Regions from separate parts of the Mus musculus genome. Here all the other regions are reported to be linked to region 2. The links are microRNA targets in miRTarBase. Many come from high-throughput screens and were not tested one by one. Region 2 holds a microRNA gene; each other region holds the end of a gene's coding sequence.
The links. The annotated mature microRNA mmu-miR-362-5p reads AAUCCUUGGAACCUAGGUGUGAAU and lies in region 2 at 2,142-2,165, opposite strand. An mRNA with a match to its seed (bases 2 to 7 or 8) in the 3' UTR can be bound and repressed. Matches are read on the target gene's strand: a 7mer-m8 pairs with bases 2 to 8, a 7mer-A1 pairs with bases 2 to 7 and ends in A, and an 8mer does both.

Region 1: the mRNA of Pcdh8 is a reported target of mmu-miR-362-5p. The part of its 3' UTR that is shown has no 7-base or 8-base seed match.
Region 3: miRTarBase lists Map6d1 as a target of mmu-miR-362-5p. Seed matches in the 3' UTR shown: 7mer-m8 at 1,174-1,180.
Region 4: miRTarBase lists Abitram as a target of mmu-miR-362-5p. The part of its 3' UTR that is shown has no 7-base or 8-base seed match.

Annotation. Positions count from the first base shown.
Region 1 is chr14:79,764,814-79,768,041 of GRCm38, reverse strand. Pcdh8 (protocadherin 8) reads left to right here. Exons shown (of 3, transcript NM_021543.4): 3 at 295-1,270. The coding sequence ends at 671. Among named protein-coding and RNA genes, the nearest start is that of Gm9748, 3.5 kb to the left of the region's middle.
Region 2 is chrX:7,239,878-7,243,105 of GRCm38, forward strand. Mir362 (microRNA 362) reads right to left here and starts at 2,169; the gene lies at 2,105-2,169. The region is part of intron 2 of Clcn5 (chloride channel, voltage-sensitive 5); the gene reads right to left. It overlaps Mir501 (microRNA 501), which reads right to left and starts at 1,474; the gene lies at 1,366-1,474.
Region 3 is chr16:20,233,394-20,236,393 of GRCm38, forward strand. Map6d1 (MAP6 domain containing 1) reads right to left here. Exons shown (of 3, transcript NM_198599.2): 3 at 1-2,646. The coding sequence ends at 2,569. Among named protein-coding and RNA genes, the nearest start is that of Gm41431, 1.8 kb to the right of the region's middle.
Region 4 is chr4:56,805,819-56,808,818 of GRCm38, reverse strand. It overlaps Abitram (actin binding transcription modulator), which reads right to left. Exons shown (of 6, transcript NM_001081420.1): 5 at 2,872-2,941; 6 at 1-2,785. The coding sequence ends at 2,648. Among named protein-coding and RNA genes, the nearest start is that of Elp1, 5.0 kb to the right of the region's middle.

The sequences.
Region 1 (3,228 bases), not on the chromosome of region 2:
CCTCTGTTCCCAGTCCCTCTCCTTCATCCCTCTCTTCAATACTCCAGTCCCAGCCGGACCCCATTCCCTTTAAATGCGATGCTAGCCGTGGAAGGAGGGTATTCTATTCATCGTTTTGTGTTGTTGTTGTTGCTGCTGCTGCTGCTCTCCCAGCAAAGGAGCTACACTTTGCATTATGTCAAGTTATCTTCATGGAAAGCATGTGCCATCCTCTCCAGCTGCCCTGACCCCGTTGACATTGTGCAGCCTTAGAATACTAACCTCAGGAATTTCTTTTCTTCCCCCCCCCCCCAGGACTGTGGGCGTGTACTGCTGAGTGCAAGATCCTAGGTCATTCTGATCGCTGCTGGAGCCCATCCTGTGCCGGACCCAACGTACACCCCCCTCCTCACCCACCAGCCCAGATGTCAACCTTCTGTAAGAGCACGTCCCTGCCTCGGGATCCTCTGCGCAGGGACAATTACTATCAGGCCCAGCTCCCCAAGACAGTAGGGTTGCAGAGCGTCTATGAGAAAGTACTGCATAGAGACTATGACAGGACAGTCACTTTACTCTCCCCTCCCCGTCCAGGAAGGCTCCCAGACCTGCAGGAGATTGGAGTACCCCTCTATGAATCCCCTCCTGGTAGCAGATACGTGTCCCCGAAGAAGGGAATCAATGAAAATGTGTAATCTTATCCTGCATGTCTTCACACACATATACAGGTCACCCTGACACGTCCCTAAGTTATTGACCGGTTTCAGTGTTGTATATATAAATATGCAAGATGTGCCTTAAAATGAAGTTGTTGGAAGCTATTTCCAATCACATTGGTACTGTTTGGTATTTGCAAACAAAAAAAATGTAGTTAATGTAATTTTTATGAAATGTGTGCAGTATTTAATTTTTCTTATCATGCTATTGGCTTTAATTTCATTTGTGGCTTGCAATTTTCTTAGTGTTTTTAACCTGTACATTGTGTAATGTAATGTTTGTATATACTGAAATTTTGTTATATTTTTATATATTAAAAGCTAAGTGGAAGTTACTGCCAAAGGAATTGTCTGTAAGACAAAAAACAAAATGTGTTGGAATTGCTCATTGGGATTTTATCTTTCACCAGAAACAACCTAATGTTTGAGAAGTTTTTGCCTTGCCAAGTCTAACAACTTGTAGATCTTGAGTCTGTGGTAGATTTCAAGTTACTGTTATTTAATTACATTCGGTTCTCTGTAAGCTCTGTCACTTATAAGCACAGTAATAAAGGATTCGTCATGTATTTGAAGAATCTGCTAATTGCTTCTCATAGAGTTGCCTGAAGTCAGATATTCACAAATAATTTCAGTACCAGAATTAAACCTCCTTTCAAGAGCTAATTATTCGGGCATTGTTGGTGCTTCTGGGGACACCAAGCCTGTGGGATTTGGGGTATTGCAAAATCTTGCCCAACAACTAAAAACATTTGTTGACTTTGTAAAAATATTTATGACTCCGTATGCATCTGCTGCTATGCAAAGTTCCTGCCCTCTCTTACCCCTTCCACAAACAGCTATTGAGCATTTACTAAAAAGTGGGGGAAGGCTATATTTGAGCCGTTCATCCACGAATTAAGCAAACATTTGTAGAGATTTTACCAGAGCCCAGTAATTCCTTCAGGAGCTGGGGCTTGAGGTAAAGATGATCCAAAACTGCTTATTAAGATGGTGTACCGAAAAGATACACAAATAGGATGGAGACAGAGTACAGTGCTGGGATGCTTTCTCTGACTGAGTTTGAGTCCCCTGCACTGCAGGGGGGAAAAAAGGATGAGGGAACATATACATTGAAGATGAAGTGACACATATCTGGGATTTGCTTTAACATGTTCCAAAACAAAAGAAAACAAAACCACGGAACTGTATGAAAACAAGATTGATAAACTATTACTGATAATCGTCAATGGTGGTATGGGCACACGTGGGTATGAAGAGGGTCGCTTTGGAAGGTTTAAAACAGCCATTGAGTCAGACCTGGTGGCACTCACCTCTCATCCCAGTACTTGGAAGATGGAGGCAGAAGATCAGGAGTTCAAGGCCAGCCTGGGCTACATGCCTTCAAAATGCAAAAGATAAAAAAAAAAAAAATGAGCCCATCTAGGTCAAAGCCTTGTGTGCATTCCATTTAAAATTAAAATGAAGATAATAATGAGATTTGGCATTTCCTGAGGAAGCTTTTCTATATGCAAAGCTCTTTACAGAGAGTTCTGTGAGAATTAAATTCTCTTCTACCTCCATGCCATAGGAACTATGGCTAACTCTATTTTTGCAAATAAGAGACTGAAGCATAAGCAAGTTAGACAAAGCATTGCTCATCATACAGCTAATAAGAATCCAGGGTGAGAGTGAACTCAGATCGCTCAACAAAGGGAAGCGATGAGGGGGAAAGCTTGTAGAATGTTTATTGATGTGAAAGAAACAAAGTTAGGAGGAAGGGTCCAATGTCTTGCCTTTACTGCTTGATTATTATTTAGCTCTTTATATTTGTAAGCGTCTGTGTTCCTTTATTACTAATTATAGAGTGAAACACACTAATGAATAGAGCATCCCTCAAAGCTGCCTGTTGAAGTCATAATTGAAGGCATTGTTAGCTCCAAGCTGAACAGCAGGTCAGGCACATGGTGCTTCACCACCCACTGCCTGTGCAAAGTTCAGCGGTTTCTGCCAGCAACTGAGCTGTGCATGCACCTGACAGGCTGGCTGCCCAGCTCTCAGGGTCTAAAAGCAAACACCGATGTTTGTCAGTTACCAACCATCTCCCTAGCCAGGAAAACTCAGCTCTAGAAGATAGCTCGCCAGGTAGATATCCCATAATAATGGAGCTTTATTCTTGGTCCGTCCTATCAAGGGCAGAGCAGAAGATTCTAGAAGCAGACTGTCTCTGTATTTGCTGATTGGAGCATTCAAAACAGAAACAATGAGGGCCGGCAAGATGGCTCAGTGGATAGAGAGGCTTGCCACCAAATCTGAGTTTGATCCCAATCCCCATCTCATCTGATGAAGAGATCTGACTCCTGAAAGTTGCTGTGTGACCCCCACCATCACCATATGCAACCTAACATGTCTATGCGCCAACACACAAAACCCATCGGTAAGTATAACTTTTAAATTTTCAAAAGAAAAGAGTAGAAACATCATTTTATTTTGAAATGTGCAGGTTATTTTTATTTCTCCAAAAATTTGAGATTCAAAAACTCTATAAATTTTATTATCG
Region 2 (3,228 bases):
AGCTTGAGGGACAGAGCTACACAGTAAGACAGTAAGCTCCTGTCTTCAAATGGGAGTAGTGATGGTAGTTGACAAGAAGTCACTTAGTCTACTGGTCTTCGGGCTGAAGGGATGAGGAGAGGGAACAACACAATAGGCTCCATATCCACTCTTCCTGTGAGCGAGTGACTCCTCTCCACGTAGGCCCATGTGTTTAGGCATATCTAGGGCCATGGGAGGGGGAATAGTTTGAGAAATCTCATCTATCAGACCCTGCACTGAGTCATTCATACAGAATAGAAAACAAGGAACAATAGACCTAGGTCATTCTTTTGAACAGCAGTTGGTGAGTCTATAATAGTCAAGGATCTTAGTGTGTTTATTAGTCTCCTAAGAGAGTAGCACCTCTGTTCATTTTGTTTCCTGCTACATCCTCTATGACTAACAGAGCTGTATCAAATAGTGCATACCTGAATATTTGTGAAAGGAAGGAAAAGGAACAGGGGTGTGGACATATAGGGGCTCTGTCCTTTAAAGTGCAGGCGAAGTGCCACCCTTTGGATTCCTTGGACAGGACTTACTATTGAAAACAGCACTTGTGCTGAGGATTAATGTTCCTGATGAATCAGGTCAGATAATCCTCTCTGTGGGCACAAGTCTGTGAATCCTCTCCTCTGTATACACTGCATTTATATGGGACTGTGTTAAAATATGGAAGAATCCAAGTGGACAGTGTACATGAAGTCCCAGTCTACAGTCCACTCATGCAGGCATAATGGATGTGACACAGCTCACTCTCCCTGGACCATTTGCTCCCTGAACCACATGTGGTTCATACTCCTGTGGACCAAATCCCTAGTTGAGTACCTGCCATACTGAATAAATAGACAGGAAACAGTGGAAGGAGGCGTAAAGGTCCTACATGAAGATAACTCAATGTCTGAACCCTTGCCCAGGTATATTGCATTCGCAAAGCACACTCATCCAAGTAGCAAGTACTAGAAAGGCACAGCCTGCACCTATGCCCTTGGCATGTGGGTTCAACAAGAAGGCTTACTGTTCTTGCCCTGTGCATTCCTCCAAGAGTTGAACTAAAGAAGAATTTCTCTTCCAGGTGTCGGTATGAGAACTAGAATGAAAAGCTGCGCACTTATGTCAATACACAGTTTACTATGTGCCCCACTTGTTCTTGATACCTGTTAGGGTCATAAGTGGAAATAAAGTTCTACCTATAAAATCTAGGTGGGAAGAGGCCAAATTTGTCACATTTACTCTCCCATGCACCATGCCCGTTGTATTTGTAGAAGGAAAGAAGGTGGGGGGAGGCATAAAAGAAGTATGCAAGCAGCAAACAGATGAGATATGATGCACAGACCTCCTGTCCTTCTCCATGCAGATCAGGCTCACCTTCCCCAAATCCTTGCCCGGGTGCATTGCATACAAATAGCATTTTCACCCAGGGACAAAGGATTAGAGAGGATGAGCAGAGCAGAAGGCCCAGGCACCTGTACCATGTTTGTGTGGTTCTGTATATAATATTTAATTTTCCTTGTCCTGATTCAGCCAAGCATCACCACCTATACCCAAGCTTGACATCCCTGATTTATATATGTATCTGCCCCCTTCCCACCATGAGCATCCTCTCTCAGAGAAAACTTCTACGTATACAAAATGGTATCTCTCCCAGATCATACTTGAGAATTTGTGGGGGCCTGATTTATGTTTGGAAGGTAGCAAGAAGGCTGGGATCTGAGAATGCATATACATACTGAAAGAGGGCACAGTGGAGGAGGATACTCCATTCCTTTCCAATGCCTTTATACAATTCAAGCTTTGTGGAACAGGGGTTATCACTGGATGTAACAAACGGGTTGCCTGAGTAGCAGCACCTAATGTGTGCTCCTCATCACATGATCTGACACTTAGCAAACTGGGAATCAAGAAAGCTCATGCTGAGAATAGAAGCATGTCTACCAAACATGATAAAGACCATTTTGCTGTTAGAAAATGTGTAGAACCAAGTCTGACAGCTAAAACCAAAATCAAATGGTGGCCAGGAGGAGGGAAGGTGGCAGGTGAGATGTGCAAGTATGGGCCATTCTACACGCAGACAAGGCTCAGCCTCTTTGAATCCTTGAACAGGTGTGTTGCACTGAAGCAGCATTCACACCTAGGTTCCAAGGATTCGAGAGGGGGAGCAAGCAAGAAGGCTCAGGAACCTGCCCTTCCTGTGTGTGGTCAATATGCTTGTGTGCAACACACTAAAAGAGAACGAGAGATGCGCTCTGTCCTTTACAAACACAAAGGTCTGGCTCTCAGAATCCTTGCTGAAGAACACTCTCACCCAGGTAGCAAGGATCAGAGAACTGAAGCAGGGCAAAAGGCTCACAGCAAATGAACGCATGGGCTCACCTTTGACACAAGGTGCTTATCTGTGATGAGAAAGAAGACAATGTTCTTGAGCTTCACATTAAGTATGTCTAGGCACCTGAGTTCAACTCCCAGCCTCCACATAAAAGAGCCAAGCGTGAGGACTCAAAGAAAGCTAGATCCCTTGGCCTAACTGGTGAGTGCCAAGTCCCTATTAGAGACTGTTTCAAAAAACAGGGTAGATGTCCCCAAAGGGGAAGCACCTCAGGTTGACCTCTGCACCCTCCACACACATACACAGAAAGAGAGAGAGAGAGAGAGAGAGAGAGAGAGACAGAGTGACAGACAGACACAGAGACAAAGAGAGACAGAGACAGAGAGACAGACAGACAGACAGACAGACAGAGACAGAGAAACCTGTCTAAATATATACATTCATATTTTGTTCTGAGATTATAAAAATATAAAGCCAGAGATACAAAATACTGAAAGAAAAAAAGACAGAGAGACAGAGAGAAGAGGCCATAAGCTCACAAGATGGCAGTAGAGATTGGCATCCTTTAACACACATCAGCATCTTGTTAAAGTTACTTCAGATACCTGGAGGACTTGGTACTAAGATAACTTACAGAGGTTTCTCATTAGTGAGCTCAAGATTTTGTATTTCTAAAAGGGGCTGGGTGATGCTGGGGACCTTACCAGCATCATGGATAAGACAGAGAAACTGTGGAGTTTGGTATCTACAAACCCTGTTTCAAACCTATACTTCACCATGTACTGGATTAAAGAATCTACCTGCTTTCTCCAAGGTCATGGACTACTTCTAAAAAATGAGAATAACAAATGCTATCTCTTTAAAGAGTACCAAAAAAATTAGGT
Region 3 (3,000 bases), not on the chromosome of region 2:
ATAAAGTATTTTTAAAAATTTGGGCTGGAGAGATGGCTCAGTTGAAGTGCATGCAGTACCTGAGTTCAGTCACCAGAACCCACATAAAAATGGCAGGCATGGTGGTGCACACTTAAAATCTGAGCACTGGAGAGGCAGCAGAGATGGGCAGATCACTTGAGGCTTGCTATACAAGCAGCCTAAGCTACTTGGCGAGCCCTGGGCCAGTGAGAAAAATGAAGGGTACCTGAAGAATACTCTGAGTTGTCCTCTGTCCTCTACACGTGCCTGCACATACATGAACACACATCCCCATATATACAGGAATACACACGTACATATAACGCCATATACACACTCCTTTCTCAGAGATGAGCCCTGCTCATCCTCCAGTGTATTTTTCTGGTCTTTGTGCACATTGTGTGTAAGGTGGACTCAGAACTAAGAGAACAAGGCTGACATTGGCCTTGGTGGCTTCTTGGTTGTTCGTGGAACCATGTGACCATACTCAGATCTGCAATGAGGAGGGACTTCCTAAGGGCAGGGTTTCATTCCTCAGGAGGACTGGTGAGAAGAGCTTTGTGGCACACTGCTGAGGTCATGCATCTCTACACCAAGAGTGAATGCAGGGGGTGGGGTTGCTGGACATGTGGTGCGGTCACTAGCAGTGTACAGCTGGAGGCTTTTAGCTGGGGCATGCCAGTGGCTACAGCAGGACCAAAAGGTACCTGGAAGAGTTAAAGTGGAAAGGACTATTGGGGAGCCATGCTTGGCTGGCTTTCCGGAGGATGTCCTAACAAGCCAGCAGGGTATAGGTAATAGCAGTCTCACTTTCAGGTGCAGAAGTGGAGTGCTCACTGTCCCTGCCAGTGAGGAAGCAGCAGTGGCACAGATGGCCCCTTTTCCCACTTAAGTATGCAGGAGAGCTGAAGTGGAAAGAAGGTAACACCTGCAACACTGGAAGCATCTGCAGCTCTGAGCAAGAAGGGTTTGGAGTTCAAGGATATTAGCGAAGCTACACTATATTACGGCCATTTTTGGGAGGCTACAGGGATGGGAAAGAATATGCCTGTGTTTATAACAAGTTGCTGCAGCACATTTTTGCATTTTAGTAAATTGTTAATCTGCCCAGCAGGCAATCGTTTCCCTCTTAGGAACACTGAGCATGCAAGCTGACAGACCTAGAGGGACAGGATCCTTGGCGTATGCATATGGTTGGTAAGAGGGAGGCTGGGCCTGCTAGCACCTCTGAGGGGATGCTGTGTGGGAGGTCTGAGCTGCTTCCTCAGCCATGGCTTTGAAACACCATCAGACCTAGATGCTCCCGTGGGGAGAGCCTGGGAAGAAAAGAACCACAAGGAAGTCCTTATAGTTCTTACCAGACACTGCTAAACCTCTCAGGCTCTTTCCAGCGCTTGAAGGGGTGTGCAAAGGGGAATGGGCTTGTTCCACACAGACGTGCTGGCTGGAATTTATGGAGATGAGTTTTCCAAAGACAGGATGAGTTATCCCCTCAGTTTTCCAAAGACAGGATGAGTTATCCCCTCAGCAGGGTAGTAAGTAGCTAACCAGAGTTGGGGAGCCTAAAGCCCTATAGGAGATGCTCTCCAGACATGCTTCCAGCTCCCTTCTATCCTCGTGTTGAGGGGGGACAACTGAAATTAGTAAAATGGGGTGAATGCCATTCGTGCTTTCAAGGTTCCACTCATCCTAGGAATTGTTTCCTTTGAAACAGGATCTTAGCTATAAAGAAATTACATGGTTGAGATTGACATGGATGATCTCCCTAGACACACATCACTACCATGAGAGTTGTGTGCGAGTAATTATATATTAAAACACACACACAAACTCCCTAAAGATTTTTGTTGTTTTGAAATTGGGTGTGTAGCCCTGGCTCTCCAGGAACTTGCTATGTAGACCAGGAAGGCAATGAGTTCAGAGATCCTTCTGCCTCTAGAGTGCTGGGATTACTCCTGGTAACCTAAGATTGATACCCTCTCCCCATTTGCTTTGCGGCAGGGTTTCTCTGTGTAGCTCTGGCTGTCTTATCACTCGCTCTGTAGACCAGGCTGGTCTCAGACTCACAGAGATCAGCCTTTGTCTCCCTCCATTGGGATTAAAGGCATGTGCCACCACTGCTGAGCTAAATTTCTTAATGGTAAGCACGTGGGTCACTGCAAAGAGATGAGGATACAGCCTGGATACTATCATACATCATCAAAAATAAATAAATAATAACATGCATCTTGGGGAAACCATCCAAAGTGTGAAACTGACCTACCAAGGACTTGATAGTGTGCACATTTCTTAGTCTGGAGCTGTTCAGGTCACAGCTGAATTGATCGTCAGATTTAAGAAGTGAAGGATGTCAGATGGCAATTTAGAAGACAAGAAAGTCTCCCTCCCTGCCACCGCTGGAGGACAGATGGGGAGGCTTGAGTGCAGCTGGTGGTGTCCTGTCCCTTTGCCTCCACACCACGCCATGCCCAGAGCCAGCAGCCATGCTGCTGTAAGCAAAGGAGCAGGCCAGGACTCCGCCTGGTAGGTCTGGCTGTGCTCGGCTTTCCCAACCATGGCTTCCACTGGTCACACATTGAGAGTCTGAGGAGCTGATGTCTGAAAGATGGCTGAGGGATTAGGTGTGAATTTCCTCACCTCTGGAACCTGAAAAAGAAAGTGGGGCGATATTAGCGGGCTTTTTCCTCACCTTGTCCCAGTCCCAGGCTCTGAGAAGAGAATCCCTTGCCCCGTGCAGCACAGTGGAAGTTAGCAGATGAGCTATGTCCCGGGGAACATGAATCTCTTCTGCTTCTCTTTGCCCTTTGGTTGGGATGAAGGTCCCGCAGTTCTTGAAGGAACTCAGAGCCTCACGCGACATGCCCTTGCTATACCACAGAGCAGTGCTTGAGTCAGTTTGGTTTTAGTATTTCCACAGGGAATGAGGCTACACTGAGGATAGAAGTTACGGCTTGTATATGCAGCCTACCACTGAGCTACATTAAAGTCATTAGCCCTAGT
Region 4 (3,000 bases), not on the chromosome of region 2:
ATTTGGCATGACGCTGAATTAAAAAGTAATGGTCTGATTTCTCTGCCACTAGCTATTTCAAGACAGTATAGACTTGATCAGTGAAAACAAGCACGTTGGGGGTAAATACCAAGTGTACAGCTTGGTGAAGAGAACACAGAGAAGCTCAATATTGACTTAATGACCTGGGAGGCATGTACTGAGAAAGGCTGCTATTATTAGAGACTGGGGCTATTAAGAAGTCCCCTGGTTTGGGCAGGAGAGATGGCTCAGTGATTAAGGACAGTGACTGTTCTTCCAGAGGTTCTGAGTTAAATTCCCAGCAACCACATGATGGCTCATGACTATCTGTAAAGGAATCTGATGCCCTCTTCTAGTATGCGAATGTACATGCAGACAAAGCACTCACACATTTAAGAAAGAAAAAGGGCTCCTCCAGGTGGTACAGATAAGGAAGAGGTGGCCTCTTGGCCAGCTCAGCTACCGCCAGGCTCAGGTCTAGGACTCTGAATTGGCCCACCCCCAAATCTCCTCAATCTGTGAAGGGACCAGTCCTGCGGCTCCAAAGCTGCAGGACCTCCATGACACAGAGCAACAACAGAATAACTGGGAGGAGTCCCGAGGAGGATGCAATATATCTTTTTGGTTTTTCAAGACGGGGTTTCTCTGTATAGCCCTGGCTGACCTGGAACTCACTTCGTAGACAAGGCTGGCCTCGAACTCAGAAACCCACCTGCCTCTGCCTCCTGAGTGCTGGGATTAAAGGTGTGCGCCATCACGCCTGGCTGAGGATACAATATTGATGGTGTCACAAAGTCAGAGATCTCGAACCAGACCAACCATTCACTGCAATGAACATTTGCAAGTGAGGATGCACAGACAGACGTATAGACTGTGGGACACACTCTGATATTCTACTTTCCACGAGATATTATCTAAGCTTTGTTTTGTTCGTGTGTGTGTGTGGCTTTTATTTTGGGAGGAGATTGCAAGGGTGAAGGGCTATTATGAGGGACAGGGAGATGAGTGGGACTGGGGTGCATGATATGAAACTCACAGAGAATCAATAAAGTTTTTTAAAGTGTCTCTTGCTCAACACTGGGACAGTGGAAGTTGGTCAAGGAGAGAATCCTTTCAGATAAACCTCCACTCTGAAAGACAGCATTAAGAACCTGGCTGTTCGCTTGGAGAAAGCACCACCATACAAGAGCTGCCGTGGACGTGAAAGGCACTGTAAGCTGACAGTCTATTTTTCAAGTTATTTTCCACATGGTACTAGCTTTGCAGGCATAAAAGATGCAAGAATGAAAAGTGGATTCTTCCTGGCTTCAGAAAGTCACTGAGGAAACATGTGGCAGAGACAGAGTTTCTGCAAGGCCATGAGAGGCCACTGTGAAGCTGTCAAGGTAAAATTTGGGTTGTGGCACAAATCCCAAGACACTGGAAATACAAGTTGTGAGACATCTGCCAAGGAAGAGCTGCACAGAGCAGAATCACCAGAGAATGATCTGTTACAGGCAGCAGTGTGGACGGGTCAGAGGCATCTCAGAAACTAAACCCTTAGATAGAGAATATGGAGCTGCAGGGTCTGGCTTTCATCATGCTTTTACTCTTTGGTCCAATATTCCCTCACTATGTCATCACCCCTTCCTTTTGGAATGGGAATGTATATTCTGTGCCATTGTGTGTTGGAAGTATGTTCCTGGCTCTCTGATTCACAGGGGAGATAAGACATTGCATTGAGTCTCTGAAGAGATCTTGGAACAGCACTGAGACTATTAACGGCTATGGGAACTTTTGATATTGGACTAACTACATTTTGCATGACCTGACTATGAGCCTATAGCCATTATGGGAAGAATGTTGTAGATTGAATGAAAAATGACCCCTTTAGACTTAGGTATTTGAACACTTGGTCCCCAGTCATTGGTACTGTTTGGGGGGGCTTATGGGACTTTTAGGACAGAAAGTCTTGATGGGGAATTGTATCACCAGGGCCTGTTTATAACCTCATTCTCCTTCCAGTTCACCAAGAGCAGTCTTGGTGTGTGGTAGGGATGGGATCTCTTAGCTTCCTGCCCTGGCTACCTTGCCTTCCCACTGCTATAGTCATCTAGTCCTCTGGACTACAAGCCCAGATAAAGTCTTTGTGAAGTTGCTTTTGGTTGTGGTATTTTGTCACAGCAACTGAACAGTAACTAATACAACTTGAAAGCATGAAGCCCAGAGTTTGGGTTTCCAGGCCCATATAAAGGAGGGCATGGTGGTGTGTACTTGTAATACCAGCCTGGGAAGGTGGGAGGCAGAGAACACAGGTACCTCCCTGGAAGTACATGAGCTATCTGGCAAAGTTCCAAGCCAATGAGAAACTGTGGTTAAAAAAAGCACTTGAAGTTGTTTTCTGACGTATACGCAAGTGAACACCCACAAGTGCGCTTCCCAGCACACAAAGCAAGAGCCTGGGCAAGGCAGGTCTGAGAGCCTGAATACAGATGGGAACAAGGCTTGTGATGTAAGACAAAGGAGGGAAATTAGGTTAGGTGAAGGTTTAGGCTTCTCTCTCGGCTAGGCGGCTGCGAGGAATGCTTCATACACACTGGCTGTCTTCAGGGCACTGATGGGTTAGGCCGGGTAGGCTGAGAATCCAGTGCTGCCTCCATCGAAAGACTCAGGGCGTGGTGGCTGTGGCATTAGTGCGTTTTACCACAACCTCTTCATACTGTTGCTGTGTCAGCAACCCTTCTGTTACGCTTTTACTTTCTTCAAATTTGGGTAATACAACTGCAATGTAGCCTTCAGTGGACGGCTGGGGAAGAAAGCAGAACCCTTAGCAATGCCTGATGACTTCTAAGAGGTATGTGGGCAGGGTGCCCTTCCCCGCCTCTCCCTTACCTTTTCTTGAAGAAGAGATGGCTGATGAAGAATGTTTTCATTCACCTCCATCAATCGACCTCTAACACAGCTATTTAAAGAAAGAAGAATTTTTACAAACAACCCTTTTGGCAGTAATGTTTCCTTCAG